Linked DNA regions of Drosophila melanogaster. The protein of the gene in region 1 binds, or shares a complex with, the protein of each later gene. Each region holds a gene or a part of one and is shown on either strand. Other genes may lie near its edges.

Region 1 (15,663 bases):
CCAACTCAATTTGCCGTCCCAACAACTTCATCTGCACTGACTAATTAGTCTGGCGCTGAAAAGTATACTATGACAAAAGTAAAACCCCAAGGAGCAGCCAGCTCCAACACAATCTTAATTAGTCTGGGCCAAAATTGATGAGGATACATATGAGGAGGCGACTGAGCTGGCCGAAATGCAGCCATATTTCGTAAACAGAACCATTGGCCAGGCCGAGAGCCATGCATAAAATGAATATCAATTAGGCCAAATGGGAGTGGAAGGCCGGCTTCGATTTCAAAGATAAACCCAAGGATGTGTGTACAGCTGCTCTGAGTGTTCCTCGTATTTTGTTGATTAAAGTCTGTTTGTTATGCCAGAAATTTTGTACGGTATATCCCCACTATCTTTCTATCACATCTACAGAGTAGAGGATTTGTATAGAAAAGTGTAAAAATAGAAAAACAATAGATAACCACATTTTAAAAATATCTTTTTAGTTCTAAGACTCTTTGAGAAAAGAGTAATAAACCTAATCTACTTTTCTTTAAGTGCACAGCATTCCCATTTATTTAGAGCAGATAATATATAAACCCCACCCCCTGTTACTCTAATGTTGCCTTTTAGATAGTCGCATTTTGCACCCGAAAATGGTATAAGGTGGCGATTTCTCATTTTGATTTGGTTGTCCGCTTTTTGTGCTCCTTTATTATCTACTGATTTGTATTTGTATCTGAATCTGTCTGTATCTGTGGGGCGTCTTTCATGCTCCGATAAATAAAATGAATTGAAAAAGCAAAAACCAACGTACACACGGAGGGACAGAAGAACGACCTCCGTAGGAAAAAAAAAAGGAAACTCAGCTCGAGGATAACAGATTAGTTGGAGCTGACTAGCAGCGTCCTGCCTTCCCATGGAAATCAAAACATTTTGTTAAAAGGAAACACCCACACAGATGCCACAGCCCATTCACACAGATACGAGCGCGTTTATCTGCGGAAACGGAGATACGTTCTACGTGCTCTAAACTGCCAACTCCGCCTCAATGGAAACTGTCTATCAGAGAATCCTTGCGGACTGCCGTCTGTGTGTCGGTGAGTCTGTGTGCGTTAACGCATTTTGTTGCCAACTTATGTGTAATAAAATGTAATAAAATAAAACTCTCATATTAGAGATGTTGTGCCACTTTTTGCTGTTTTGTTGTCTCGACCCCATAAAAAGCACACCAAATGTCGGCTAGTTTTGTTGGTGTCTTTGAGCTGTCTGTGGTTGGTATTAGCCACGTTACACATACGCAGTGTTGCCTGCGCAGAGATCTTCGTGATGGTGATGGTAATCACCATAACAATCAGACTGAAGTGGGCACAATGACACATAACAAGGCTTATTAGGATCAGCGAGTTAATGGCCATGTTGATAAACATCAAGTGGTCTTAACAACAGATTCCACCACTTGATTGATGTGATTCGATGATGCAATTATGCATTGTCTCCATTATGCTTTGTGCATTTTTTGGTAGCTAATAAAAATTGTAGCTACAAATGATAAAAAATAATAAAAATATCTTCAATGATAAATAAAGCATCGAGATACATTAAAGTTCCGAATATTTCGAATTGGCCTACCGTAAACAGAGTAATTATTTCGGTAAAAACAAATTAATTATTCCGTTTGTGACATTTAAGCAAACATAAAAATTAAATTCGTATCAAAAAACATTTAAATGTCAGTTAAAATAAATCAAGCGAAAGGCAACGCAATCTGTCAGTTATTGCCCCCCATTAATGCTAACTGAAAAAACTTTTCCCAAGCTTTTTATGGGACAATTTCAACTCATTAGGCAGCTGCTGCCAAAAAGCAAACCGAACCAAACGAAACCATTAATTACATTTGGCTGCCGGCGACAAATTGAATTAACTTGTGTCAAAGTGCAGCGTATTGATTTTCTAATTGGAGCCCAAAGACCAGACCACAACGGCATAACAAAAAAAAAAAGGCCATCAAACAACATAAAATTCATTTTCCACAAGCAGAAAATTAATAATTTTTAAATGAATTTTGCTCAAACATTCCGAGAAAAACAGAGATGAGCACTGACCATTAACTTAATGAGGGTCATTGTGGGGCATGCGGCATGTTGGCTCTTAACACCTTGCAACAGCTGATGACCACAAAGGACGCGCCGGATGATGATGTTGTTGTTTATATACTCGCCGCCTCTCGCTGCCACTCCCCCTCGCTTCTTAAGCTACCGCCCCCAGGATATTCCCGAGCTGCGGAGCGCAAGGGATCCAAAGCACTTTTTAATGTGCCAACTTCCGTTGGTGGCAAAAAAGAGAGGGCCAGAGAAAAGAAAGATGACGAGGACGAGCACGACTTCTGCGGCGGAAACGGAAGCCAAACAAATATGGCCGACGCACGCTTGGGCGGACAAAAAAACAACAATAAAACTTTTTAATGCACTTTTAGATGCCACAGTTGGGCTCTGCTGATATAGACACTGGGTCGAAAAACAAGGATATATATATTATGATTTATGATTAAATTAAGAATGATAAAGATAAATGATATACATGTATTAAAAGTGAACAGATCCTAGTTTGATTAACTAAAAACTTATACAAGAATGAAACTGGAAGTTTAAAACAATTTTATAAATTATAAACTAAAGAGCATATTTATTTATACATACATGTATATAAACATTTATTTCAACACATTCCAGTACCATACAAACACCTACTTTCCAAATCTGACTTCAGTGTAAACTCAACTTAATGAATATAAATGTATTTATTCATCAGTCAAATTTCATCACTGAGCTTATCCCTTAATATTGCCGCATTAATTAAAAGTTTACGCAGATTAAATTTTCGCATCTTCTTTTGCCACCTCACCACTGTGCGACTTCCGAGGATTATTTCGTTGTGCTTTCTTCATTCCGCGGGTCAAACCATCATCCCCCGCTGGTGTACTTACAAATTTTTGATTTGCCACTGAAATATTTGGCCCACACTTTATTTTCGTTACTGTGTTTTTTCTTTTTGTTTTATATTTAATGCGTATATATAATTTGCGCCAATTCATTTTTGTCGTTTTTAATGTTCTCTGGGTTTATTTTCAGTTGGAGCCTGCGGTTAGCGAGGAGACCGTAAAAAGCCAGAAAGTTTTTGCCCCTGACGTTGATGATGATGACGGCCGAAAGCGTGGAAAACAAAACGCTGATACAGGACGGGAAAGTTGGCCAAATGACAGAGAACAGTAAACAGGACATAACGACAATTTAAATGACATTTTTAGTTGGCATTTATGGTTGGGCGGCAGAGGATAATGGGTTCTCTTCGTATCCAACCAACTGTATCCTTTCCCCTGTGGTTTTCCCGACCATTTTGTGTGTCGTTGTGTGTGCTTTTGGATAGTGACATGCGATATTTGATCAATAAACTTGCCAGGACAGCACAGGATACGCCGTGATGTGTGTATCCTGTATCCTGTTTTTTTTTTTTGCACAGTTCCCCGACGAGTTCCCGAACCAAGCAGAATTTCACTCCCCCGTTGGCTTATTTTTCCTTTTGACTCAAGCCGCATTCATTATGAAAAGCAAACAAGGTAGACGCCACTAGACGCCACATCAATCCGGCTCTTTTCCGTAGCCGAGCTAAAGCGTTTTCGCACGTTTTCCTTCGCCATCCATGGCATCAGATCAAAGGACCTCGTCGTTTTCCCCAACCTCATCCCATCTCGTCGTCGGTGGCACTCGAGGGGTTTCGCTCTGGCAAAACAAAAACCCTCGGGCCTGTCTCAAGCGTTATTTATTGTTAACGAAATAGCCGACGCCTACTTACCCCCAACCCATGCATCCCCTTATGCACAAAATCTTTTACAATTCAACCCCCAAAACGCCTTGAGGGCAGGTTAACGTTAAAGGGTCTTTTTAGGACCCGCTCGGGGTTGCCAGACCTCGCAAAAAGGACACGGACAAGGACAGAGGCCGAGACATTATCATTATTCCGAGCTGTCTGGCAATTAATCAAATGCTAAATGGCAACAAAAAACGCATTTTGCGGCTTACAAGGCTGTCGACTTCTGGGGGTTAAAAGCAAATTACATTGAAAGCTTTCGTTTGCTTCAATAAGACGTACAGTGGAAAAAATATGTCAACAAATTAGCACGAAACATGCAACAAGTATTAGGTTCTTTGAAGAAAATTATGGATATACATATGATTTCATTACTGGATAAAATTTGGATATCATCTTACATGTTTCGAAATTGCTACTCAAATCGACAGCTTCAATCTGTAATAAAATTGGAAAAATGGAAATAAATTACTACGAAATAGTATTTAGTTTCGGTAATGAAGTTTGTTATTTTCTTTAAAATATTATATTGTTCAAAATTTTCTGTTATAAAGTCATTTAAAGCTCATCCATAGCTAATGTAATTAAACTGACCGCTTTGGTTAAATTATCCCAGCGAATCTCCGCAAGCTGGTTGTCCTTGTTGTCTCGTTATTGTTTCAATTGTTTCTGGACAGCCTGTCCCGACGACAACAAAACTAAATTAACACATACAGGGACAGCCATGGGTTCACCACTGTCCTTGTCCTGCTCAACTTTTCCCAATTGTCCCCCCCAGCAGCAAACCCCATCAGTTTCGCACTCTCGTGTTGGTTTCTCTCGAACACACAAAGCCAATTGACAGTATGGATGCTCTGGGGCGGATTCGAGGGGGCTTGCCAGTAGGTTTGGGGCACAAGTGCCGGGCGAAGCTGGAGCGGCAGCAGGAGCCAATTGAAAGCAGCACACAAGGATTACAATCTATCAGCTCTGTTCCCGTCCTCCTACTTCGCCCAGCCCTTCCTCCGTTTTGCACTCATGAAGCGTCCAATTTTTTTGAGCTTGTCAAGGATTCAAAGTTCGAACGCTTTTGGACCATGGTCCGCACTGGTCCATACTCTCTATCGCCCTCTTTTTCACTCTTTGTCAGTGCCCATCTATCCCTCCCCCTCTAGCCTTGTTCAACTGCAGCTCAGCTCTTGTCGCATTGCAGTTTTGCCAGGGTTCAAGAGCTTTGTGTGTGTTAAAACGCTTTTTATTGTTGTAAATTTTCGGGTGCAAGGTTTGTTTGGGCCGCTATTGTTCGGCAGTCTAACTTGGCTAAATCGGATCGAAAATCTCCAAAAACGTGGTAAACTTTAGAGATTTTGAATCCTTCATTGATGAAACATGATTTTATGATTGGTATTTATTGCTAATTCTATTAGTGCTTGTGTTCTTGCAAATTAGTTAGCAAAATAGGCGTTCGCCTTACAGAAGTTGACCTGTAGTTGCTTTTGGCTTTTCGATGATTGCTATAGATTTTCGCTTCTGCCATTTGCATGGGCCAACACTGCGGCTGTGTGCGTGAGTATCTGGCGTATCTGTATCTATGTCTGTGTCTGTGCATGTGTATGTGGCTGTCAGGCAACTCTATTACACTTAAAACGAGTCAATGCGTTTTAAAAAGGAACGGACCAATTGAACCGGCATCCATATATAGGAGCGGGTCAACAAGGGATCTATGCAAGGATGTGTGAGTGTAGAAGCCTGTGATTGTGTTGATTGTGCGCGAAAGAGAGGGAGGAAAGGACGAAGCTGCACCTTGGGGAATTTGTAATTGAGGCACGTGTACGGCTAAATGATTGTGATCTTTTGGGCATTTCAAATATGCAATTAACGAACAGTAATGAGTACACATAGGAAGGCAAAGGAAACAGGAGCAATGCATTGTGCAATGGGAAAACAAAACTTTGACAGCAAACCAGATCTAAGTGCATTTAAAAGTTGAGCGGTTTTCGGAATAGCAGAGAAGTGAATTTAATTAGTATATTTTAAATAATTAAAAAAATATAGTAGTATTTATTTTTAAATATTTGTAACTCTTTATATGTTATTGGAAGACAATCCTCTATGCAACAGCGACCAAATCCAAATTTTCAATCACCGTAATCGAACTACGAAATATCCACTTTGTAACTCACGCAAATTGCCATAGATAAATCTGTCCCAACAATCCGGCAGATAAACTAATATCTCTTTCTGTCCATATCCGGTACGAACTTTCCAGTCCATTGATGACCAACCAAACCGGCGCACCATTTTACAAATTGACTTTATGCCATCCATTTCGATTGCCTTACTGCCGCCGCCACCCACCCAAAACTAGCAATTGCTCCCTTTTGCAAATCCTAATCCATGCTCCCTATTTATACTCCTCCAAAGCTCGATTTTCCCATTCCGACCCATCAATGCACACAAAAACGGCAGCTTAGAGCAAAGTTTTAGCAACTAAAAACGGAGTCACATAAATGAACAGGGCTGTGGACACAAAAGCGGCGAATATATATATATATATATATATATATATATATATATAGGAAAGGATATAGTTGGTCGAGGGGGGCCTGGAGTGGCGGACGTGGACATGTCACGCACACTTTATCCTTTATCCTGGCAGCGTCGTGGCTTTTGGAAACGTTTCATTTTCCGTTCTGTCAAAGGTATACAAAACAAAAAACTTTCCAACTGGACGGGACGTCGACGACAGCTAAATGCGCGAAAATGTTGGACCATAACACCTCGCAACGCCCCCCCTGGAAAAACGCTCAAAATCTACCCAATTTTCCCACACTTCAAACGCAGCAATGTTGCAGGGAACACGACCAACATGAAATTAAAATGTAATTTTGTTAAGCTGTAATTTGATTTTTTTATATTCTTTTTCCCCGTTGTTGACCATTTATTCATTTCATTCATTGCTAACTTTGATTGTTTGACGACCGTGATTGCTAAACTCTACACTAATTTGTTGAGTTGCATAAAAGTCACAAGCATCAAAAACAATTTAATAATATGTATTTGCAGTCCAAATTTCGATGCAAATATCAGATTTCGAGAAGAATTTTAGTCATTCAATGTTTTATTCTGTGAAACCCTCGTTTTCGTAAAACTTCGCTCACTCTCATTCACTCACTCATTTCAATTCGATTCGAGTGTATTAATTTAACAGCAAGTTGTGAATGATGCCATGCAGATGTTTAGTATATATACTATATATTACGTACGTACATAACGCTTAAGCGCCGGAACAAAGCAATCAGCAGAGAGCCATGCGTGCGTGTGTGACGTACAAGAATAACGCATAAACATAAAAAATATGCAAAAATAAGGGAAACAATAAATGGACAAGGAAGAAGCAGCGCCCGCAGCATTCATAAGCGGTAAGCGGGATAAGCTTTGGATGCCACGCCCCCATAAACAAAAAAACGCCAGACTTTACAGCTTGCTCTGTCATATTTTTTGCCTACAAGTTTACAATGCACCGAAAAAAAATGACAGAAATATAAATAATATCAAATATGTAAATTTTAAACTTATAACTTATAAGAGTAGAGCTAAAGATATCAAATTAAAAAGCAAAACCAATATACGTTATTACAAATATGAGTTTAGAATACTTAAGAAATTCCATACAGTCGAAAATTGCTGATATGTTTACCACCCCCAAAAATATAACAAAAATATTTTCAAGTGTATCCCAAACTGCGGGCCGCTAAACGAGTATCCTAATTTCTTGGTTTTTATTTTATTCAGCTTTTCCTGGTTTAACGCGGTGTACAATTTGTTGTTTAACAACAATACAAAGGCACATGCACATCATACTTTGCGGAAAGCAAAAAAGGGCGCCGCCAAACAAAAACGGAAAAGCGCAGGGCGCGAGAAAAGCCTTCGAGTTTGAAAAATGTGTGCGAAAAATGGCCAAAGGCAGCCGCATTGTGTGGCCAGCTGCGATGCGCGTGTGTGTGTGTATAAGTGGAATTCGGAGCGTGTGTTGGCCAAATAACGACAACAACTAAAGCAACAAAAGCGGCCAGCGAACTGCAATCGTACAACCTATATATATAAAAAAAAGTGGAATACTAGTAGCACACAGCTGGTAAAGCCGTCGAAATGTTGCAAAACATTTGCAACGTTTAAAATTTTAAAACACAAACAGAGAGCCACTGAGTCGGAGATAAAGGGCAAAGGAAAAAGGAAAGCGAATGGGAAATGTGAAATAGCTGGTGCAAAGCTCTTCCTAATGGAGAACAATAAGTAAAGGGGACTTGCAACCGAAAACTTCACCACCAGCTGCCCCAAGTGCTAGAAAACCTCACTGACAGAAACATTTACTGCACTAAATAAGGTTAAAAAAAAAACCAACAAGAAATGATAGCTGCAAAGCAGCTTACACTGAGCTGCAGCGAATGAGGCAGCTTGAGTTGCACAGAAAATCTATTAGTTCATAAAGAGAATACAAGGGATGGTATAGTTTTTGGGAACAAAACCCCATTGAATAAAAGAAGAATATAAAACACACAACCTATTACAACTTGACATGCAAATTATTACATTTCAAACGAACCCGCCGCCACTATAAATTCCATTGTAAAAACAATAGAAATTGAAAAGCTACAAATCTCGCAGGTTGCCCAATTACCGAAAATTCTGCGAAATTTAGAGACCAAATACATTCCATAAATTGAATTGGCCAAGCACTTTGCCGGTTTTTATTGGTAATCCTGCCACCAACTGCGGCAGCTGCAGCGGTGTTGCATGCGGTGTTGCACGGCATCCAATAACAACAAACAAAAGGCATTATTAGCATAGTCATTAACACAGTTGGTCCCAGCAAGCCAACAGCGAATCCCGGACAAATCTCGCATAGCAGAACCTGCTAATTAGCAGGGGCCACAAAAAGAAAATACAGGGTAAAATAACACGAGTTCGATGCGAAATCAATCCAAATGCGGGCTTAGATGTACATACATATGTACCCGAATAATAAGCGTATATATAATCCTTTCGTACATAAGTCTGAGTATCGTAGACCCTGGCTGGCAACGCAGATGCAAATTCTGTTAGCAAACGGACCCTCTCGACCTTTTTCAGGCGGCTTATTTGGCATTTTGCTTTCGTCCCGGCGGCAAATCATAATCATCAGCGAGGAGAAAAAAAAAACAAAAGCAGCTAAACAAGGACTCCCACAGACTGCCATGCAGCAAATCATTTATTAAGAAGCCCCTTCATCTTCATCTGAGCCATGCTCCTCCTGCACATCTCGCCAGATCCCCACTTGGCCCCCACTTTTTCTGTGCTAGCTCTATGCTTTGGGGGCTCTATGATTGTCAGCGGGCACGGAATAATAGCTAAGCCGAATGCACTGAGCATCCATCTGAATCTCAAACTGAATCTGAATCTGACTCTGAATGCTGGGCGAGCATGAAAGAAATATGAACGGATGCCTCTTGAATGGCTGGCTGGCTGGCTGGAGAAGATGGAGGAGCTGGAGAGGAAGCCGAAGGAAACTGGGACACTCAATGCATCATCATCCTAAGCCGCATCAAACGAGATTTGTCAGACGGGCGTAAGCAGCAGAAAGGCGTGAGCTGAAATTTAGACATAATAGATTGCCGTGAAGAATGGTACAGATTAAGTCCTAGATCGGCTTAGCAGCTCCAGCAGGCGGGGAATTAAATAGAAAACTGGTTTGAAACATGCAACTAACAGTTCTCTAAAAATCTAAGAACGTTTTGAACTGGAATACATAAATGTATAATTTCTTGGAAGCAAGAGGGAACCCTATTTGCGAATAAGCACAATTCTTGGAACCTTATTAGACTTACATTAAAATAAATACTGTTGATATATATTTATGATTAATTATATTTTTATTGGAAACGGAGTCATCATAACAATGAAGAGAATACAATAAACAAATTCGTAACAAAATGATTAAATTGTCATTACATGACATATGACTTGACTTGATATGAGTCAAACAAATCAGACAATGTGATTTATACAGAAAATACATTTTAACATTATTAAACATTCCTGTTGAAATATTTATTCGCAAAGAACGTTGAAACTTCATTTTAACTACACAAAAGCCAGACAAATTCCTCACTCGAGCTTAATTAACTAAAATTATTGACAATAATCACTCGCTCGAGAAGACGTGGCCATAAAAGCAGTTCTTCCGGTTTCACACACAAAACCCAACTAATCCCAAATGTCTAATTATAAACGTATTCTATCAGAGAGTCACTCGATGAAGCACTCGTGTTGCAGGCCAAGAATGCAGAATTGGACAACTGGTTTTATGGCAAACGCCAAAATCAAGCAAAAAGCATGAGGGATGGCCCGATGGATGGAAAGCACCTACTGTTATCAAGTGGCAGGACGATGTTGCAGCAAGCACACAATATGTTGCCAGCTGTACAATGGGCCACTTAAACGACAACAATAAAAAATTATTAGAATGCCAATGGCAGCCGAGGCACAGGCAATAGCAAAGGATTCAGCTAAGGACTTGGCTCGGCAAGGAACTCAGTACGGCACTTCATAAATCTAGCAACGGCATATGAAATACGAGTATCCTGTGCTGAGAGCAGAGCCAATCAAGTTGCATACAACCCGGGGCATGCAGCCCGGGAGCACACCGAGAGAAATAATTAATACATCCTATATTAACGGGGGTATTTATTGGTTGTTCTGTTGTAAAGGATTAATTGTACATTCATTTTACTTTACTACTTCTGTATTTTAAAAAAGGTTATTTCTTGTATTTCTATTGCTTTTTGTTTTTCATTTTGTCTAAATATCAATAAGAAAGATTATACTTTTCAGTGCATGAAATAACGCAGGCAACCTTGTTACTACTTTTTCAGCATGTCCTGACCATCCAGGACAGATAGACCCAGCAGAAGCACACAAACTCACACACATTTGGCTTGTGATTTATTAACAAGCTATCGTTTATCATGTGGGCAACAAAGGGTTAATGCCTGAAGGGCCTGCTGAGTTATGCACCACCACCACCAGCAGCAGCTGCAATTGCCAATTTGCTAGCTGTGGCTATATGCTATATGCTCCATATACGATATATGGGAAAAATGGATGGGAAAAGGTAGCGGGGGCGCGGGACCGATAGCCGAAAATATCTGAGAGGCATCAAGATAAACAACAATCGCCTCAAGATAAACAAAAAAGCGGAAAGTCACGAAAAGTATGCGCCAGACAAACGAAAAAAAAAAGGCAGCGGGGAAAAAAAAAGAAAAACCATGAAAGCCGCAATAATTCCGCACCGATAATTTATGTGCGCCGCCAAGTTTATAAAAATTAAGATATTTCCCATTTCCCATTAAACATTTCATAGCTGGAGAAACTGAACCCAAGCTATATGCCCATAACTTATCTTGAAAATATTTGTTTTGAGCGCCGTGCTCTCGAATATTTTTTTTATTCGCTGCTTCCTCCGATTTCTTTTTGGGAAAAATCCGAACGTGTTGAAGCGTTAAATTTCCATGTGGGCGGCCGGCCGGCCGTCCAGAGAATGGCCAAGACAAAAAAAAAAAAAAAAAACGAAGAAAGAAATAGGTGGACCGAGAAGCAAACAAGTTGCAAAGCTGGAAAAGGAGTCGACGTGGGTGCCGGGGCCAAGATAAAATGTTGACCAATAAATTTTGTGACCATGAACGACAAACACACAGAGCGAGCGGAAAATAAAAGGCCAGAACCTGAAACCTAAGGGGGAAAAAGGAACAAAAAGCGCATGGTCAACAATAATAAACACAAACGATTAGGGGCAAGAGAAGGCCCCACAAATATGGTATGCTCTCTCGAGAAATCTTATTTGGTTCAAGAACCCATTCGAAATTCCCATTAAATTTCAATTGATTCAAATACATGCCTGGTTTTTAATCCCGAAATCAAGTAAATAAATGGCTGTTCGTTCGTTAGTTTCGTAGTCTAATAATTTATGTATAATGATAAGGCATTATGACAAATGAGCTTATCGCCTTATTCCGGTCTATTTAATCTGAATGTATTCGATGGCACCTACAACAACTTTTAAATAACAACCTTAACGTTATACAGAAATTTATTTGTCTGCGTTTAAGTTCAATAAACGCACCAAAATGGCTAGAAAAGTATAGTGAATAATCTTATCTTATAAAACTCATCAAGGAACACTTAAAGTCAAATTAAAATTCTTAAGGGTAAACGATGTTTCATATAGTACAAAATAAAACAAATCTGCATTGCAAGTGTTATTGGATCCGAGATAAAGTATCTTAAATGACAATCATAAACAGAAATCTGCTGTGAGCCATAAATATGAATGCTTTTAAAAATATTACTAGGTTAAATGAATGAATAAATGAATATATTAAGCCGTTTTTCAATTCTCTTTCAGTATATCAGTTTACGGAAAATAAAAAACTGCTTTATTTTAAGAACAAATATAATGATTTTCGGGTTGAGATCCCTTTTACTGAAAGACCCGAGAAATATATTAACCTTTCCAAGGAACCCATTATAAATATTCGGTACCCTTTGAGCCAGAAATCCAGGTAACTCCTTCGTTATGGTTAGTGTATGACAAATGTGGAAAAACTAGCGCGACGGGCGATTGGCGACTAGCGCGACTGGCGGCGACCAGACCAACAAACAATGTCCAGCGATTTCCGATCGACAAGTTGGGGCCAAGAGCGTGATGAACGCGTCAAGAGGGGGTGCGAGGGAAGTCGGAATGGGAAGAGGAGGGAGCGAGAAAGAGGAGACGCAGCGTGTGCAAGAATGCTTTGCTCCGCGAGTGTCATTAACTCGTTTGCCTTATCTCGAAAAACGTAAACGAAGCTGCATGAGAGCTTTATTTACGTATGTAGGAATGTGTGCGTTTGGGAAAATTACCTGCGAAAGGTGCCGCCCTGCCGCCTAATTGATAAGTTTTGGTTTCATATTCGTCTATGTAAGTAATTAACTATGGTAATTTGGGAAATTGGGTATATTTGGAGCGCGGCGTCTTCTTACCTGTCGCACATCAATGACGCACGCTGCCGACGCCGACTTCAGCAGCGACGCTGGCAGAGGAGTTTACGTTAGCTCTCTTGCTATGTATCTCTCCCACTCGAACACAAACGTGTTGCGCTCACCAACACCAAGGCGAAATTGCACAGCTGAGCTGGTGAAAATACAGCGAATGCGGTGCACAAAACAGAGGACCGAAAACAATAACGTTATGTCAATTTGTTGCTGCCTGAGTTGTTCTCTGCCTGCTGCTCCCGTTTGTTGTTACTTTTTTTTGGCACGTGAATCGACAATCGCATTTTTCAAATTCTTGCACTCATTCGCTTTTGTGCATTTGTTTACGTCACTGGCTCATACACACACGCACGCACACCCGCACACATACGCGCGACTGAATGAAAGGCGCGTAAAGAAGAGAGTGGAAATGCCAGAAAGAGAGCGATTAATTTGGCAAAGCGCCGCACGCTCAAATAAACAAATATTTTATTTATATTTCGTGTCCCAATCACTGCGCCATTGTTTAGTACTATTCGTTAGTGTCTGCTAATGCCCATTTTGCACAAGTGTCTTATGCATGGCAACAAACAATACAATAATCGAAATTTCCACTCGCGTTTTGCTCTTGGCCCGCAATCACGGGCTGCTGCAACTGGCAGATAAGCGAATCCGATTAATAATCTAGTGCGCCGCGCATTGTTTTTGGTTACGCGATTATTCAAATGGCTCGGAACACACTTTATTGCATTTTAATTAATATCTGCTGGCCTCGCGAGCAGCAAAATCGTCCGCTGCACTGAACCGAACGCGATGAAAACAAAGATGAACTAGCGATGGAACAGATGGCGATGTGAGGTCCAACCTGCGATATTTCGATGTTTGCTAAGTCGAGTAGTCGATTGGTCCTCTCACTCGATAAGTTTTTAAATTTTCGATATTAAATTTTTAACTTTGTTGAACTTAACATTAAATTTTATACTCCCATTAAGTTGTAGACTGTTTCCAGTTATAAGCTTATTTCTAAATGAATAATTTAAAATTCCTGCTTCTTAAAGGAACAAAAACAAATATACGCCTTCCTCAGAATTTAAAATTTATCTTTACCTCTGTTATTTGTCCAATTAAATTAAGTTTTTATATAAAATCATCGATAACAGAAACCGATAAGCAACCGAAAGACATCTGTTATGCAAACGAGTGGGCAGTCCTTTGATGGGCGTAGAAACTCATTGATAAAAACAAAATCACTTAAAATTATTAGTTTGGGGGAGGGATCAGGATTGAAAGAACCGGGAGCATGTCGGAGCTTAAGGCCCCGTCGCTGCAATCTCTGCTGGAATCGGAGCGAGGATCCACAGACAGCCTACTGGCCGAATCCCTGCAGCTGGACTTCGAAGATGTGAGTTGGGATTACCCGAAAATGGAATGGCCTAGATAACACTTTATCTTGATTCATCCAATTATAGCTTGATGATGCCGAGTTTGCAATACCGCCCACCGATGTGCTGCCTACTTTGGAGGCGGTGCTCAGTGAATTTGAGGCGGATTCGGATGTGGCCTCCGAGTTTGGAATGCCGGTGCCCCATGCCACGCCCACGCCCTCGATTGGTGAGGATTCCACGATCAGAACAGACGGCAGAGGTGGTGGAGGATCCATAATGAGGTACACCCTCCTACACGGCATCTCGGCACAACTTTCCTCAGCGGCGGAACGTGTCAATGCCGGAGCAGCCAGTTCCTGTGCCGTGGCCGCATTCATAGCCATCGGAACATCGCATGGACACATTTTGAACTTCGATGTAACCCAAACCCTTAGGTGGGCCCATCAGGACAAGCATGGTCAGGGTGCGGTGGCCAGTTTGGCTTTCAATGCGGATTCAACGCGACTTTTGGCTGGTTTTTCTAGGGGATTGGTTGCCATGCTGGACACTCATACGGGTGATGTTCTCCGTGAGCTGTTCGACGTCATAACCCCAAACACCGGCGTACTGCATGTCAAGTGGACCTCGAGATCATCACTGGCCTTGTGTGCCGATGCCGGCGGATCGGTGTGGTCTCTTAGTTTCACCCGGAAGCTGGGCATCCGTGGCTGCCAATCGAGATGCCTCTTCTCCGGCGCTCGCGGAGAGGTCTGCGCCGTGGAACCTCTAATAATGGACTCCCAAGGACGCCATGAATTGGATCAGTACTGCATTGTGGCTCTGGCAACGTTATCCAAGTATTTTATCGTCACTGTCCGACCAAGATTAAGGGTCATCAAATACCACGTGCTTCAGGGACCTCCTGATTGCTTACCTCTCCTCGCCTGGCATTTAGTACTCATTCAAGCGGCAGATACTTCCCGCTCCGTGGACCCCGTGATTGTCGTGGGCCGCGGGAATCAATTATTCTTTCACCAACTGTTTGTCTCGAACGGACGAATAACGCTTTTATACCTTCGACATGTCCAGCTGCAGGGGAGTCTCCTCTCCGCTCACTGGCTGGGACCAAAGTGTGTTGCCTCATTGGACACGGCGGAAATACTTCATCTTGTGGATGTGCGATCCAGTAAGGAACTAGAATGTATGGATATGGCCAACGCAGGACTGGTCTACGGATCAGCGCAGTTTAAAGGACTAGCCACTGGCGGAAATGTGTCACCTGCCTTCGCTTTAGCCGGCTCAAATGCCTGTTATAACTCAGTGGTTTCAAGAGGAACCCAGTTGTACGTTTTAGGCGCCAGGTCCCTGCATATAATTGGAGTTAGAACTTGGTCAGAGAGAATAAGCTTCCTGGTAAGATCAAAACTGT
Region 2 (15,663 bases), on another chromosome or scaffold:
ATTACTGAATTGGCGCTCACCTTTCGCAGAACGCTGTAAGCCCGCGACTCTGTTTGCAGATGGAGCAGGCCCGATTTCTCCAGGTTGCTGATGGTGAGCAGCACTTCCAGACCGTACACATGGACCAGTTCGCGCTTGTAGTGGTTAAGCAGCTTCTCCTTGAATCCGGAGGCGGCGTGGCACTGCATGCAGATGAGCCGCAGGACGCGATTCAACTCCACCCTGCAGGCAATCAGGTCCTCGATGTAGGCGCTTGGCTTGTCGATATCTGCGCAGACCATGAACTCCTGCTCGGCAGCCAGGTCGTCAGCGAAGCGCACCGCGTTCACCTGTTCGTGCAGGAGGCCAGCGATGGCCGTATGCTCAGAGGTGGCCTTCTTCTGGGCCATTAGCTGCGGCAGGAGGTTCTCGACGAAGCTCTTGATCTCCTGCACGCTCTTGTCCTGGGAGGTGGCGTGCATCTGGACGTGAATTTCCCGTGCCTTGCGAGCGAGCAGCTTGGTGACCTCGTTGAAGTGCTTGTTCCGCAGCTCCGCGTACAACTGCTCGCCGGAGTGCAGTAGGATGGTCTTTTTCTCGGTGTCACCCAGCAGCGACTGCGATTCCTCGACTCGTGGGCCACTGCCTCCGCCTCCGGGAAGGGCTCCGTCAGAGGGAAAGTTCTCGGCGGGCAGCGTCAGTTTGTTCTGCCGGATGCCGTAGAACTCATCGATAAGCCCCTCGTAGGTGAGTTGTGTGGCCAGCGGGCTGAGCAGATCGATGCTTCTGTCCAGAAGGATCAACTGATCGACGACACCCTTGTCGCCGTTGTACAGAGTCCGCTCATCCCGGCCCAGCTGCTTGGCGTGCTCCCATACCCTGTGCGCAAACTCTCCTTTTCCGTAGATCTTCGGAATGCGACCGTATAGACGCTGCAGCTGCACTAGGCCCACTGCCGCCTGATACAGCGAGCTAGTGTCACCGTCCACACTCACATCGCGGAAGGCATTGGGCATCTCCATCGATACCAGGTCGACATCCAGCGGCAGATAGTTCCAGGCCAGTTCCTCGATGTTTCCGAAGCTGCCCAACACGCCGCTGACCTCCAGTTGGCTGACGCACAGACATGACCGCCTCGGGGCGAACAGGATGTGGTACTGCCGTCCAGCGGCCGCTCTTCCGCCTGCCTTCACGTGGGCGGCCAGCTGCTCCATCAGCGCCACGCGTGGGCGCATCACGTACACCACATTGGCCACCTCGCGCGGCAAATGAAGCTCCGGCTTGAGGGCCAGCAGACGGATGCCTCGATCAGCGAATAACTTTGGCCGGGTAACCAAGTCCAGCGGTCCGATCATGGTCTCGTCCAGCACAATAACCTTGGAACCCTCAATGCGGTCCAGCTGCTGCAGCAGCTCGCGGCAGGCGGCCTCCTGCAGCAACTGCAGGTTGACCCGCTGACCATGGCCCTTCAAGTGGGGGAACATGCTCCTTTCCTCTTGCCAGAAGTGTTGATTCGTATGCTCTGCGGCTTCCGGTCGGTCGCTACCGTGTCCTTGGTGGGCGGTTTGTGCAGTGCGTTGGTGGTGTTGGTGCAACGCCCACGGATTTCGGCTGCAGAAGATCAGGGACGCGACTGTAATCGCTGCAAAGCAGCTGATTTGGACTGCGCCTGCGCTCAGCAGTGCGGTCTTACACTTACCCTTATGGCACGGTCACACTGTCCGCTGCTCTATGGGCCATTCACACTATCACTTGCCTGCAATTTAAAATCAAAACAGTTGCCAGATATAAATTTTGTTGATTAAACAAGAATATAAAGTTAAGATAGAATAAAATAATAGAGGAGTAGTTTCAATTATTTAATCTGTGGGTAGAAAGTATTTCTTATTTATTTTTTATGTACAGCTTTTTTCATTTAACAAAATTTGTATTTTTTCAATGCTTTGCACGCTTTAACGCAAATAAGTTACAGTAGTGGCCAGTCCAGTGTAAACTATGCTAAACGCACCCCTCTTTTTCGCCAGCAACCAGTGTCACCACATCCTCACAATTAAATACCAACAAATGCCAATTTGCATCAAGTTGCTTGTGCTGCTCATTTCAGTTTAAATTGATTCCGAAATTGCTGCAAGCGCGTAAAATAAAATGAGCATCTGCGATTTTAAAACGGCTAAGGATTGAAAAAAAAACTAGAACATTACAAGGACAGATGACAACCCTGTCGCTGCAGTCGGCACTCAAGCAACCCGGAAAAGAACAACAAAATATTGAGAAGAGCGGCGCACTCAAAAAGAGCTCAATTGCCGGTTATAACTGTAAATTGAGAAGCGCGGAACTATAAATTGCCATCTCCGTGATGAGTAAACCCCATGCGCTGCGCGGTGTGCTCGCCAATTTGATCAGCGAGTCGCAGTAAGTGGATTGAGTGCACAGGTGGCCAGTCGATCTAGCCGTTGCTCCTGCACCGCCTCTTTCCCGCCATTGGCACCATAGTTTACTGTCATTTTTTATCCCACAGATCGCCCCTAACTCCGGAGAGCATCATTCGGGAGTTTCGGGCCACTAGTGATCGGCGGCTGCCAGCCTGCGATCTGATCAAAGTCCTGGTGTCCATCAGCGAGAAGCGTCCCAACTTCGCAGAGGTGACCAAGGAGATCTCGCACATTCTGCAGAATAAGGATCCCATGTACGCACTGCTGGTGTTCGTCGAGCGATACAGCGAATGCAAACCAGTCTCCGAGAGCAGCAGTTCCACTAGCCTTTCAGCGATGGGCTTGCCGCACGGAAACAAGACTTCGGATGTTAATTCCGCAGCCGGTTCAGTCCCCACCACATTGGCAATCGCAAGCACCTCGACAATCTTAACCACATCGCAAAACGTATCTGGTTCCACCAGGCTTAGCTTGACCCAGTCCCAGGACTTTCCCACCTCGACGCCGGTGAATTGCAAAAAGGCCACTGAATCCGACACTACACCCGTAGTCTTTGTCAGGCGCGGCCCAATGGACCGTAACCGTGGAGCGGGCAAGGATGAGCGCAACGACTTAAGTGTGGTGAGTGCAGACTAAGTATGGTGTGCTGTTCGCTGCCAATTACTTGGCCCCTTCAAATAATCAATGATCAACCCACACAGATCAAGGAACGTGTGCTTAATGCCGTTTCCGATCAATCCTTGAGCGGCTACCGCTCGGTGACCAACAAAACGGGCAACAGCCCAAAGTCAATGCCGAATGACCTGGTGACGCTAACTGATGTGCCCGATGAGTACCGCACCCATTTACTGTGGGAATACTACAAGGTGGACGGGGACAAGGTGCCGAGGGCAGAGATCGCGGCAATGCCGCTTCTCAGCCAGGAGAGTATGCTGCTCGACGAGCTGCTGCACTGCCTCACGGGCATAAGAGAAAGCCTCCTGGTGCCTCAGAAGCCAATTATTTCTGCCGTTGGCCTGGCCAAATACGACACGGACTTTGACATACACACGCACCTCGATCGCTCGCTGACACACCAGGTGCGGGAAATCTTGCCATTGGCCTCCTACTTCATGGGCGTGCAGAAGATAATCGCGGCTACCGACGGCCTGGGTCAGGTGATGAACTCATTGAATGAGGCACTGCAGGAACTTACACACGACTTCTATGTAAGGATGTGCAATCGTGTCGTGGCAAAATTTTTCCCTAACTAATCTTTTTTTCCACCGAGCCTAGCTGATAATCGTACAAGCCGAACAGGAGCTGCGCCACAATAGATTAACATTGCAGAAACTACTGTACTACCTGCAGCCGACGATGTGGGTGATGCATGAGGTCTGGTCCTCGTTGGTGATCATTCAGCTAAGCGATTCACGGGATGCCGAAGTGTTGACGTATTTACACGAGCGGATCAAGCGGCTGGAAGGCAACAAAGATGCACAACAGCTGATTATCGGACTGGTGCGCAAGGCGGCCAAGCCGTACATGCGAATGCTGCAGATGTGGATCCAGAAGGGCGTGATCGTGGACCGCCACCGGGAATTTCTCGTAGTGGACAACGAAGTGATCCATCGCGACGAGCTGCCCGAGCACTATTCCGACGATTATTGGGAGAGACGGTATACCTTGCGCGACGAACAAATACCATCGTTTCTGGCAAAGTATTCGGATAAGATCCTGCGCACCGGCAAGTATCTCAATGTGATCAGACAGTGTGGCAAGCGCGTAATGCCCACGCAAGAGATGAACCTAGAGTTCGACCCGACCAGCGAGCGGCACGTGTCCGTCATCAACGACGCTTACTACTTTGCCGCCCGCATGCTGCTGGATGTGCTGCTAACGGAGAACGACCTGATGGGTCACCTACAGTCGGTGAAGCGTTACTTGCTGCTCAACCAAGGCGACTTCACCATGCAGTTCATGGACGCCTGCGAGGACGAGCTGACGAAGAACGTGGACCACGTGTTGCCCATGACGCTAGAGAACCTGCTGGGACTAACGCTTCGCATTTCCTCGGCGCGTAATGATCCCTACAAAGACGATCTGCACTGCGAGCTGCTGCCCTACGACCTGGTCACGCAAATGTCCAAGATCATGAAGAAGGAGGAGAACTGGCAGGCACAGCCTCGCCTCGATCTTAGCGGCCTCGAGTGCTTCGCTTTCACCTACGAGGTGAAGTGGCCCTGCTCTTTGGTGCTGAATCACATTTCCATCTCCAAGTACCAAATGCTCTTTCGACAGCTCTTCTACTGCAAGCACGTGGAGCGCCAACTGTGCAAGTGGGTTCCCGATCCTTAACCTTTTATGCCCACGATCATTTAAGTTCTTCTCTCGCAAACAGGATTTGGAAGGAAAACTCGATTGCCAGGCAGTTCGAGCCGCAGGCGGCTAGTCTCTATCGAGCGGCGTTCACTCTGCGCCAGCGTATGATGAATGCCATCCAGAACCTGGAGTACTACATGATGATCGAGATCATCGAGCCCAACTGGCACATTTTCATTGAAAAGATGAAGACGGTGGAGAACGTGGATAACGTTCTGCGTCTCCACCAGGACTTCCTCGACTCGTGCCTTAAGAACTGCATGCTGACCGAGTCGTCGCATCTGAATCGTTCGATCTTCAAGCTCTGCAAGATCTGCCTGAAGTACTGCGAGTTCATCCAGGTGAGTTCCAGTTACAGTGCGAGGGTACCGGGTGGCTAAATTGCTAAATTTTTGCGTACAACCCTTCTTCCTTTGCTCTGTGCTTCGTGCTCCGTGCTCCGTGCTCTTAATGCTCTATGTCTATCCCGCTTGCCAACGCTTCCAACTCTATGTGGAATCCTTGCTAATCCCCACCTTCGCAGATCACGCAGCGTTACTTTCAGGACGCTGAGCTCAGGTCGATGGTACGTGATAGCGCGGACAGCTCCGAATCCGAACAGGAGAGCCTGCACTGCCCACAGGTATTGCGTAGGCTTGTGCTCAACCACGTTGTTCCTTGCGGTTCCTGTGTTCTCGCTCCCACTTTCGTTATCGGTGGACCCATTTCCGTTTTGTGTCCAGCTGGATTGCATAATGGCGTGGCCCCGATTTTGATAGCATTGTTTCTTTTATTTCGAATTTGGATTGCATGCTTTAAGTTATTTTTGATTGGCTTGCCTATGCATTAGGCCATTTGCTTTCTTTTGTTTTTAAAACCTTAAATGCATCTTCTGGTATCATTAAATTACTAATGCAGAAATAATCTACAATAAGTAGATTATTATTAAGTTTTCCCTGATTATTATTCCTTCTTAATGAATCTACTTACAAAACGTAGTATTGTTTGGAAAAAATGTTTTGAAATTCAGTTAAAACAATTTGTGTAAGACCAACTTAAGCGGTTAATCTATATATTTTATATACTTATTTTTATATTTTATATACTTATACTTTTGTGTATACGGATGCCACAAAATTAGCCTGAGTTCGGGAAGAATTTGTATATACATAAGAATTCCCCCCAAATTCAGTGTATTTGTGACATCCTCACATGTATGTTCCAGTGATTAACTTGTGATTTCTTTGTCCCCTGCTAGATTGAGACCCCGTTGGATCCGACAGATACGTTTTCGGAGCGGGTTAGGCGCTTTGATCTGGAATTTACCCAACTGCTGATATCGTTCCTCAAGCAGATCAACAGCATGGCGAAGAAGAACACCGCCGATTGCTTCATGAATCTGGTGCACCGCATCAACTTCAATGCCTTCTACACCGATCAAATGGACAAGATGTGTGTAGAGGATGCCATTGGCTAAGCCAGCACGTCTAGAGGAAAGGATGTGGATGTGGATGTGGATGTGGACGTGGAAACGGAAACGGAAAAGACAAGAACAAAGTATTAGATAAATGAATTTCATAATCACAAGCGCACATTTACCATCATTCCCCACGCATGTCTTCTCATTTGCCATCCAACAAAGCGCACCAATTGTTACCCGTTTAGTTATACAAATTCGAATATGTATGAACCAATAAACCAATTAAAATGTCCTTCGCTGCTGCCGTTTGCGTTCACACAACTGCAATTTACGGCACTGGACACGATTTTCGATTGCAACGTAAGCCAGTGGCGTAGATTGCAGATTGTGCCGCCAACCAAGATATTGTACTTCGTCGTCAACCAGGTCATCCGCGATAAGCTTGGCCACTCTGTTTAGAAATGCACAAATATCCTAGGTAGCTCTCACCACTGGTTTATACATCGAATCAGAATGATAGCTGAGATCTTGGTTTCCAGGATGTTCATCATCGTTTGCTCCTGCTACGGGGTTTGCGGTTTTCCCCCATCCTGAAGCCTTTCATATACGAAGCTTATGTCGTTGGTATTTGGCCAGTTCTTAATTTAAGCTAGCCACTTGGATTTTTGGAGTGGAAGCAAATGCAAGCAAGAAACCATCCAGAATTTTAACCAAATTTGATGTTAGTAAACTCGTGATGGGCATCAATGTGGTAGCTACGCTGTAAAGTAGGCAACAAATATATTGTTCCCTGCGAAGAGAGCATTATTTTACTAAAGATCAGTATGAGAACGAAGAACTATTGTTAAGTATGATAAAGAGTGCAAGAACATCTATAAATATTATGTGCATGTATATATGTGTATTCAATGGTTTAATATACATATGTATGTATATTGCGAATTTAGTATGCCCTGATTTAGTTTCAAGTTCGCACTGCGATTAAGCATGAACTCGAAATCTGAGCTCTAAAATATTATTGACTGCTTTTAAGTATAAAGTATATGCTATATATAATCTGGCATAAATAACAAGTTGTGCTGCATTCGCTTTAATCGCATTTTTCTCAGCGCCCATTTCCCTTAGTCGCAATATGGCGAGTGGAATTTTCCTGGTTTTTCATCGTTGTCCGATGGTTTCTCCGCTTTGGAGCCACCGACTGTCCAGGAGCACACATGGCATAAATATACATATATGTATATATATGTACATACATATGTACGAGCCGATACACACCCACAAAAGCCAATTTCTAGGCATTTGTATGTGGGTGCAAGTGACCACCCCCCCCCCCCCCCCATCAACCACTTTTGTACATACATATATATGCATATAGATGTATATACATACATACATACCCTGCTATATGTATCATCTGCAAATATTGGAGTATATAAATATGCAGTCGCCAGTGGATGTGGGTTCGTTTGTATGTTCGCCATTAGCCGTCATCAATGTCCAACGGTCATCTCTATAACATCTCCGTCACTCCACCACCCATCACCCACCATCCAGGCTCCCAAACTCCCAGCACCCGGATAGACCACCCTACGCCCACAACTCCACAAGCAATTGGCAATTTAAGCTCGCATGAATTATCGACAATCAATTATGGTTTTTGGCCATGTCGCTCTCCGGGCTCCATCCTCGTCTATCCTTTTCCTGCGAATGGTCTCGGCAATCGGACTACTGGACTGCTGGACATTTGGCCAGCCGGATAGCCAGATAGCCAGATAGCCAGATAGCCAGATGGCCAGATGGCCAGTGCCACATAGCCATATATATGTATGCCCATCGACTGTGTGCGATTGTGCGCGCCTATATATGTATGTATGTTAATTAATCAAAAGCCCATCTATCCATCGATTCGGCATTTACAGACATATGCAAATGAAAGGCGCACAAGCAGCTCATTAATGTGCGCAGAAAAGCCCCCAATAACAAATTCGCTAATAACAATAATAACGGTGACGAAACATGTCGCTTTAAAAACAAAGCCTCCACTCGCATTGCATTTTCCCCAAAAATCATCGAAGTCAACTTTTTCCATTCGACCATGTGAATAAACTATCTCATTATCTTTAACTCCTTTTAGTGATAGTCGTCGCATTCGACGAACACTCTCCCGGTGCGCTTCGTCACTACGTGGATAGACGTTTCGTTTGCTTGCTGGTTTTACAAACGCAGCAATTTTTTAATTGCATTATTACTCTTCCGATCTTATATTGTGTTAGAAAAAAAGTATTTTAAGTTAAGAAAAGTGTTAGCAATAAGTTTTAAATAAAGTTTGCGGTTTTAGATAATAATCTAATTGAATATCCAAGGCAAAGTTATGCTGAAATCAAATGAAAATTTAAATGAATATCTGATCTGAGTATAGGGTATCTGATAGGGAAGGCACTCGCGCACTTTAAGTTTATAGTTGTATGTATTGCAGTTTTTTGTTGCTATATGAAATCTTAGTTGTAGTTTCGTACAAAACATGATTTAGACAACGTGAATATCTCATCAGATTTCGAACACTGAAGATGTGATATTCGAGTTATCTAAAGCATACCTTGTTTGTTGATTCGTTGTGTTGGGATTCCCCGGCGCGATGTTGTTAGGTGCAGTGCACCGGCATTGATGATAACTAATCCAATGTTGAGAACTAATCCATTGGAGATGGCCTCACCAATGCCGCGGCACTGCATGGCGATGCCCACCACCGCCGTTGCAGACATTCCAGTGCATCCGTCGATCCTCGAATTCTGTGAAATCTCTGAGTGCAAACGACTCCCACATCTGTACCGGATGCAAAACACATACAGGATGTAGGAAGTGTTTAAAATCAAAAATTCAATATTGCCAATTGGATAACTTGGTGGTCCGCACTTTCGTATTCTCCGCTTTTAGTTGTTCATTTTTCGGTACTTGAGTGCTAAATATGTTGAACATGCATGAACATGTGCAATATATTTAGTACTCCAGTGCCGACAAGTACATACATATATAGGTTGTCAATGTCCTGGAAACTTTTTGCCATAATACCAAGACTTCTCCTATTCTAGATATTCTAAAAAAACAATAATAATAAGTGTATAATATAATGGGCAGCATGATGTTCGTGTTATTTTTCGTTTCGTTGTTCATTTTTCGGTACTTGAGTGCTAAATATGTTGAACATGCATGAACATGTGCAATATATTTAGTACTCCAGTGCCGACAAGTTTGTTGTCACACAGCTCAATGTCCTGGAAACTTTTTGCACGAATACCAAGATTCTAGATATTCTGAAATCATTCAAAAATATCATTCGTATAATACATATAGAATGTATAATATAATGGGCAGGACGAGGCTTGAGCTTATTCAATTACAAGGCCATTCAGCAGGACGGATGTGCCTGGCTCGACACATCGCCCATCCGTTCATCCGTTCGTCCTTCTTCCATCCGCCACTCTAGCAATCCACCAGCTCCATCTCCAGCTTCCACATGACACGTGTCCTTGGACAATGGGCCGCACTACAAGCGACCCACTTAGAAGGAATCCCGCCCCCCAAAAGACCAACGCCCCTCCCCCTCCCCCTACCAAAATCAAGGTATCCGTTAATTAGGCAATACAATATACAATATGCTCTAATTTTGGACTCTAAAATGCGATAGCTTTCAATCAGCTCAAGTCTCAGTTGATACTAAATAGTTTCCTAGTTCGATTAGATGTATTTCTTTGAATATTAACTAGTTTTGGCTTAAATATAGAAGCAACACCCATTTCAAAGAGTAGATTTCCATTTAATGAAACCACTAAATTATAAAATTTGAAGGCCATCTTTAATTCGATTCCATTTTCTTAAGAAAAAAAGCCCAATGAAAGTATTTGTATGTTTACCACTCAAAATGAAGTATGTACCTTCTTGGATCCCCACGGTATCTTCAAATAATCTGACTTATCCGGTTAACTTGGTCGAGTGCTTTTTAAAGGGAAGGGGGGGGGGGGGGGATCGAAAACAAATGAAATGATTGCATTGAATAAGTTTAATAGATTTTGCCACTCAAAGCATGACCCATATACACGTGAACCCGGAAAATCAGACAGACACTTTCCACAATCCCGAACAATCCCAATGAAAATTGGCGAACTTTATTCGCATGTTGTGGGCGTGGCACTCTTTTTTTTTTATACTTTTTGTGTGAGCTTGGTGGGGCGGATTTCTGGTTGGACCAAGTGCATGAGGTGGTTAGTGCCGAAAATTCCGTGCGAAATTAGGAAGCTTCAGGAAAAAAGAGGAGGTGACGAAATTAGCGAACACAGCCGCACACGTGACACGGTTTTTGACTTCTTTTGACTCCTTGACTGCTCCTGTTGCTGTTTGTTTGCTGTTGGCCAAGTGGAGGCACGTGTCGCAGCAAATTGGGTGATGTCCTGCTCGTCCTGTTCGTCCTGGAGGGCCAATGGCCGGGGGCAAGGCCGCTGGCGATGGTCGGGGGTTGCGGATATATGGATGCGGATGTGTGTGCGGATACGGACGTGAATGTCATCCGCATGCCGCCAAACAAAGGCATTGCGCTGACGTCTACGCACGCAACCACACCCACAGCAAGGAGGCGAACGCCCAAAGGACCAGGTCGACACACCACACCTGCCTCGCAGCTCCGAAAAACGGCTGCCCGGTTTCCGGGGCGAGCCTAGCTCCTTCTCGGTGTCCAAACAATGCCAGCACAACAAGCATTTCGCCAGCAAGTGGCAGCACTCATCGGATGGAGTCGCCAGTTGGATTCCCTCTTTGCAGCGATTGCGAAATGGTGAGCATTAATATGTGTACTTAAGTACGTTATAACTTTATACGGGAATTTCTAAAGTCACAGCTAATAATTGAGCTATAATTTTAAGAGATATCCAAATCTATAGGTAGATTAAGTGTAGAATGTGTGAAAACTATTTCAAATCACACCGTTTTGGAATGTATTCAAGCAAATTCACACTTGATAATTAGTACAAATTAAATTGAAAACTTGCTTAGTAGATTTGTAACCATAACTACTGTTTATGTTCCAAAAACTGTTCAAAAGTATGCTGCAAAAATGGAATTTTAAATTTAAATACAGCTAAAAAAAACATCGTTTCTTCAAGTGCAAAGTATACAATTAACCCAACCAAACTGACTTAATTTGCCACTCGCAGGAGTTCCGCCGACAAAGAAAAGGGGAATGGACATGCAACTGGCTTTTGCCCGTGGAAGTGGGCAGGAGGAGCTGACAGGAGGGTGGGCAGGGAGTGGAACACATGTGCAAATTGATTTCGAATTTTTGTGGCATAATTCCACAATTCATTTGATCTTCATTTGGCTGTTATCGCAGTGACTCTTTGTTGTTCCTGCCGTTCGAATCGACTCGCCTGGCTAGAATGGTTGTTACAATTTCACAATTGCTTGCCATCCGACGCTCCGAGAGGCACATCCCAGGACGAGTCCTTGCCTACTCGAATTACCAGCACATTGACATCGACACATTAGGGCAAGTGCAGGCGGAATCGGAATCGGCAATGGGAACGAAGGCGAAAATCTCAGGGAGGAGGGATTCAAATGGGAATGGATTCGATAGGCAATGGCAATGGCAATGGCAATGGCATTGGCGGCGGGTGGAATCGGACAAAGTGAAGCAGTGAGTGGAGTGAAGCAACCACCACCACAGAGTGAGCAGGCGAGGCACTGGAGATTTCATCCGCTGGCCCTGATTCACGCAGTTGTCCATCAGGCCGTCCTCGCTTATCCTGGTTGCTCCCAAGTCGCAGCTCCTTCCCCTTCGGTGCGACAAATGTGCGCTTTAGAGCGACACCCCGAGGTGTTGGCTATCGCAGTCACTTGAGAGGATGACTTCATCCGGCAAGGTCCTGGTCCTGGTCACATCGCGCATCTCCTGTGCATCTCCATCCCTCCTATCGTACGAATGCGTCGGCGCCTCATCGCCAAATCGAGCATATGCGCACTTGGATTAGGACGAAGTGCGGAGTGCCTATTTGAGGATTTGACTTCTCCAATTGCAAATGCCCTTTGAATTCTCGGATTTTTTGTTTCTGGTTATGCACTCATGCATCCGGAAAACTACGCCAACTTGGCTGTCTACATTAATCCTAGCTTAGAATGTGAAACTTTGCACTACTTACAGACAATAAGTGTACAAATAGTAATAATAGTTATTTCCTACAATTAAGTGTTACTTTGTTTTTAGTGGAAAATATGGAAAATAGTGAATGGTAAAAGTTTTAATTTAACATGATTGCTTTTAAAAGAAGCTATGTTCATTTTCCCATTCTCTTTAACCACAATTTGCATTGGTCGCTGAGTAATGAAATATTATTTAAGGGTTAAATCAAGAATAAGGTTTCTAATTAATATAATATAAATATAAAAAACTTTAAAAATAGGCAGAATAGAAACGGACAAACATGCGGACAAAGCTATACGGACGGACAAAGATCGCTTTCCTGTATACTTTATACTTTACTTTTTATACTTTATGTATAGTATACCCTTTGGAAGGGCTTACACTCAGAGAAAAGCTAGTTCTCAACGATCTCGATATGAGCATTACGATCTTAAAATCTAGCAAAGATTGAATCATAATTCAGCTTTCTCTCTCATTTTTTGAGCCATCCCTTCACTTCTATCTTCCCGAATTAGATCGTTTTCTTCTCATCCGAATGATTGATGCCACTGTTCCCAATTTTTCTGAGTGTAAAACCACAATACTACTATTTCCTTTGAGAACAAGTGTAATTCACTGTTGATACATATACTTGCAGTCGCAATCTCCAAATGCTCATGTGTAATGTTGATCTTATAAGGAAATATCTATATCTATCTATATAGATATCTATCTATCTATCTATATCTCGATCAGCGCAACTGAAGGTCGGCTGTGTTGACAGGCGAATTGTAGAGATGTGGATGGAAACATCTCAATTGAAATCGGACGTGTAGTGCACTTGTGCAGGACCACCGGGAGTGCCGCCACCCCCTTTTGGCCAAGTTGCCACCCCATCGAGACGAGGACGCAGGAGGACCAGGATGCGGATGAGGATGAGGGTGAGGTTCAACTGCCCGTGTGCTGAGTTTCATTTGAAATTATTTAGGCAATAATTACTATTGTGTCTTATGCTTACATTTTGCCATTCTGCCACAACGAGGCGATGGCGAAGTGGTTCGCATTCGGATTCAGATTCAGATTCACATGCGGATGCGGATTCGGATTCGGGTTCGGTTTTGGGTGTGGGTATGGTTGTGAATGTGGATGGGGGGTGTGGGTGTGGGTTCCACGCCCATCCCATCGACGTCGTCACCCTCTTGACTTAATGAGGCCTTTTTGTGCTCTTGATGGATTTTAAATTGTTGTCATCATCGCTATTTGTTTGCTGGTGCTGGTGCGTTGGCAAATTGTTCGAGGGGTGAGCAATCGCAGGGGATGAGGTTTGGATTGGTATGGAATGGAATGGGTTGTGTGTTGGTTGGTTTCGATGGTTTCGTAAGACTTGGGGTGGGGTAAAAGGCTTGGCTAATCCTGCTAGTTGGATTGCGGTCGCCGGCACTGCTAAGCGGATACGGATGATGATAATGATGATGAGCCGTATGCGGATGCCAATGCGGATGCACTGCTTTGTCCGGGTCAGGCTTTTCACTTTTCACTTTTCACACTCAAAGCGTCTTATACGCACCTTTATCTCTGGCCATTGTTCAGTCAGGATGTGCCTTCATATCCGACCATTCAAATGGATCGCCAATGGACTTCAAATGGATTGAAATGGACTGGATTGGACTGCTCAAAAAAATCAAGTAAAATCAAGTAATCAAGTAAAGCGAATTAAGTAATCATGTGTGCTTGAATACATAAATAGTATAAATAGAATGCCATCTCTTTTAGATTTTAGATTGATGATTTAAAGTTCAGCTGTTGATGCTTAGAAAATATGATAAGATAGCTATGAAACATCTTTTGCTGAATAACAATTGATTGGTATAACAATTAATGTTGAATGTGCATGTAAATAAATATAATATATATATATAATATATAATATATGAATATTGGCTCATATTTATTGATATTCGGCAACAATTAATTGAATCTAATGGGCAAGTTTCTAGCTTACACACAAAATTTGCCATTGATTCTGCTTCAAAGCTTCGCCAAAAATTGTAATTAATTGAATATTGTGAGCATATCGGACGGTTAACAAGCGCTGTTAAAGGACTCAAGTTATCGCAATAAATAGACCCTTTAAATTGCTTATCAGGCTCTTAAAAGCTTTTGTCTCCGCACCCGGTGGCCATTAAAGATTTAGCAACCTGTCGTCTCATTGACTTCACCGCAGTGCTGCAAACTGGCGACCATCCATCCATCCATCCGTCCATCCATCCGTCCATCCATCAGCTATTCGTCCGTTCTCGCCTGCGTTCACGCATGGTCAGCCTTTTCGAAGGAGCAAGGACCAAGGACGAAGGCGCTGGTGGATGTGGATGAGGATGAGGATAAGGATGACGATGGAACGGGGAACGGGACATCATGAGCCGGAAATGCGAAGAGGCCGCATGCTATCGCCCCTTTTCAGTTGCAAATTACATTCAAATTATACGATTTTGATAAGAGGGACATTCAAAAGTTTCCAATTTCAAGTTGTGCCGCTCTTCAAGTGCGCCGCATAGTCCCCCCCCCACCCCCCCGCCTTCTTCGTCCTTTCTCGTCCTTTTACCGCCCGAGTCCTGCGTGCCGTCAAAAAAGTTCTCGCTAAACTTGTCACAAAGTGTGCGTGTGCGAGCGGGATGCAAGGGCACAGCGAGCACAGCACGATGCGGATCGAGATGCGGACGCGAGTGCGGATGCGGATGCGGATGCGAATGCGGAATTGCAAAGGCAAAGGCAAAGGCAAAGGCAAAGGCAGCAGGCACAAAAAGTTGACATATGTGCGCCCCGAGCACTTTTCCGGAAACAGCAGGGCGACATTTTTTCCATTTCCACCTTCTTCCATCCGGCGACTTGCCCATGCCCATCCCACCTCTCCCCACCCCCCCGCACTTCGCGCTCTATATGTGTATCCTTATTTTATTTTTTATTTTTTTTTTTCTTTATTTTTACTTTTCATTTTTGCGATGAGTTTTGAGTATATCTTCAGCATCAAGGGACATTCACTTGATTTCTGTTGCGACTACATGATAAACATGTTCTTGTTGTTGTTGTTGTTGTATGTAGTTTTTGATGTATCTCGAAATTGGTATGGTATGACTGGGAAATGTGTGGAGAGTCGCAACGGAGGCGGAGCAACCAAGCCAAAACCCACCCATGCATCCAATCCAATCCCCGCCATTTTGCACATGTACAAAGGCCAAATGGGGATTTTGATATTTCTCTAATACGTGAAAATGCAAAGTGAAATTGAATTTCTTAAAATGATGCCAATTAAATCGAAAGATTTGAAT

The links.
Region 2: Vps8 (region 1) and car share a complex: the UniProt entries of both Drosophila melanogaster proteins name them as parts of the class C core vacuole/endosome tethering (CORVET) complex.

The regions. Positions count from the first base shown.
Region 1 is NT_037436.4:6,493,698-6,509,360, reverse strand, and holds the start of Vps8 (vacuolar protein sorting 8), read left to right. Parts: upstream 1-14,063; 5' UTR 14,064-14,170; coding exon 14,171-14,272; intron 14,273-14,339; coding exon 14,340-15,647; intron 15,648-15,663. UniProt on the Drosophila melanogaster protein: Part of the class C core vacuole/endosome tethering (CORVET) complex involved in endo-lysosomal vesicle trafficking and lysosome biogenesis by facilitating docking and fusion of endosomal vesicles.
Region 2 is NC_004354.4:19,552,142-19,567,804, reverse strand, and holds the start of car (carnation), read right to left. Parts: upstream 1,787-15,663; 5' UTR 1,679-1,786; intron 1,623-1,678; exon of another isoform or gene 1,591-1,622; 5' UTR 1,464-1,590; coding exon 21-1,463; intron 1-20. Other genes in the region: Grip84 (Gamma-tubulin ring protein 84), read left to right, coding at 2,336-2,391, 2,498-3,032, 3,113-3,619, 3,687-4,729, 4,792-5,113, 5,296-5,394, 6,010-6,228. UniProt on the Drosophila melanogaster protein: Core component of the class C core vacuole/endosome tethering (CORVET) and the homotypic fusion and vacuole protein sorting (HOPS) tethering complexes involved in endo-lysosomal vesicle trafficking and lysosome biogenesis.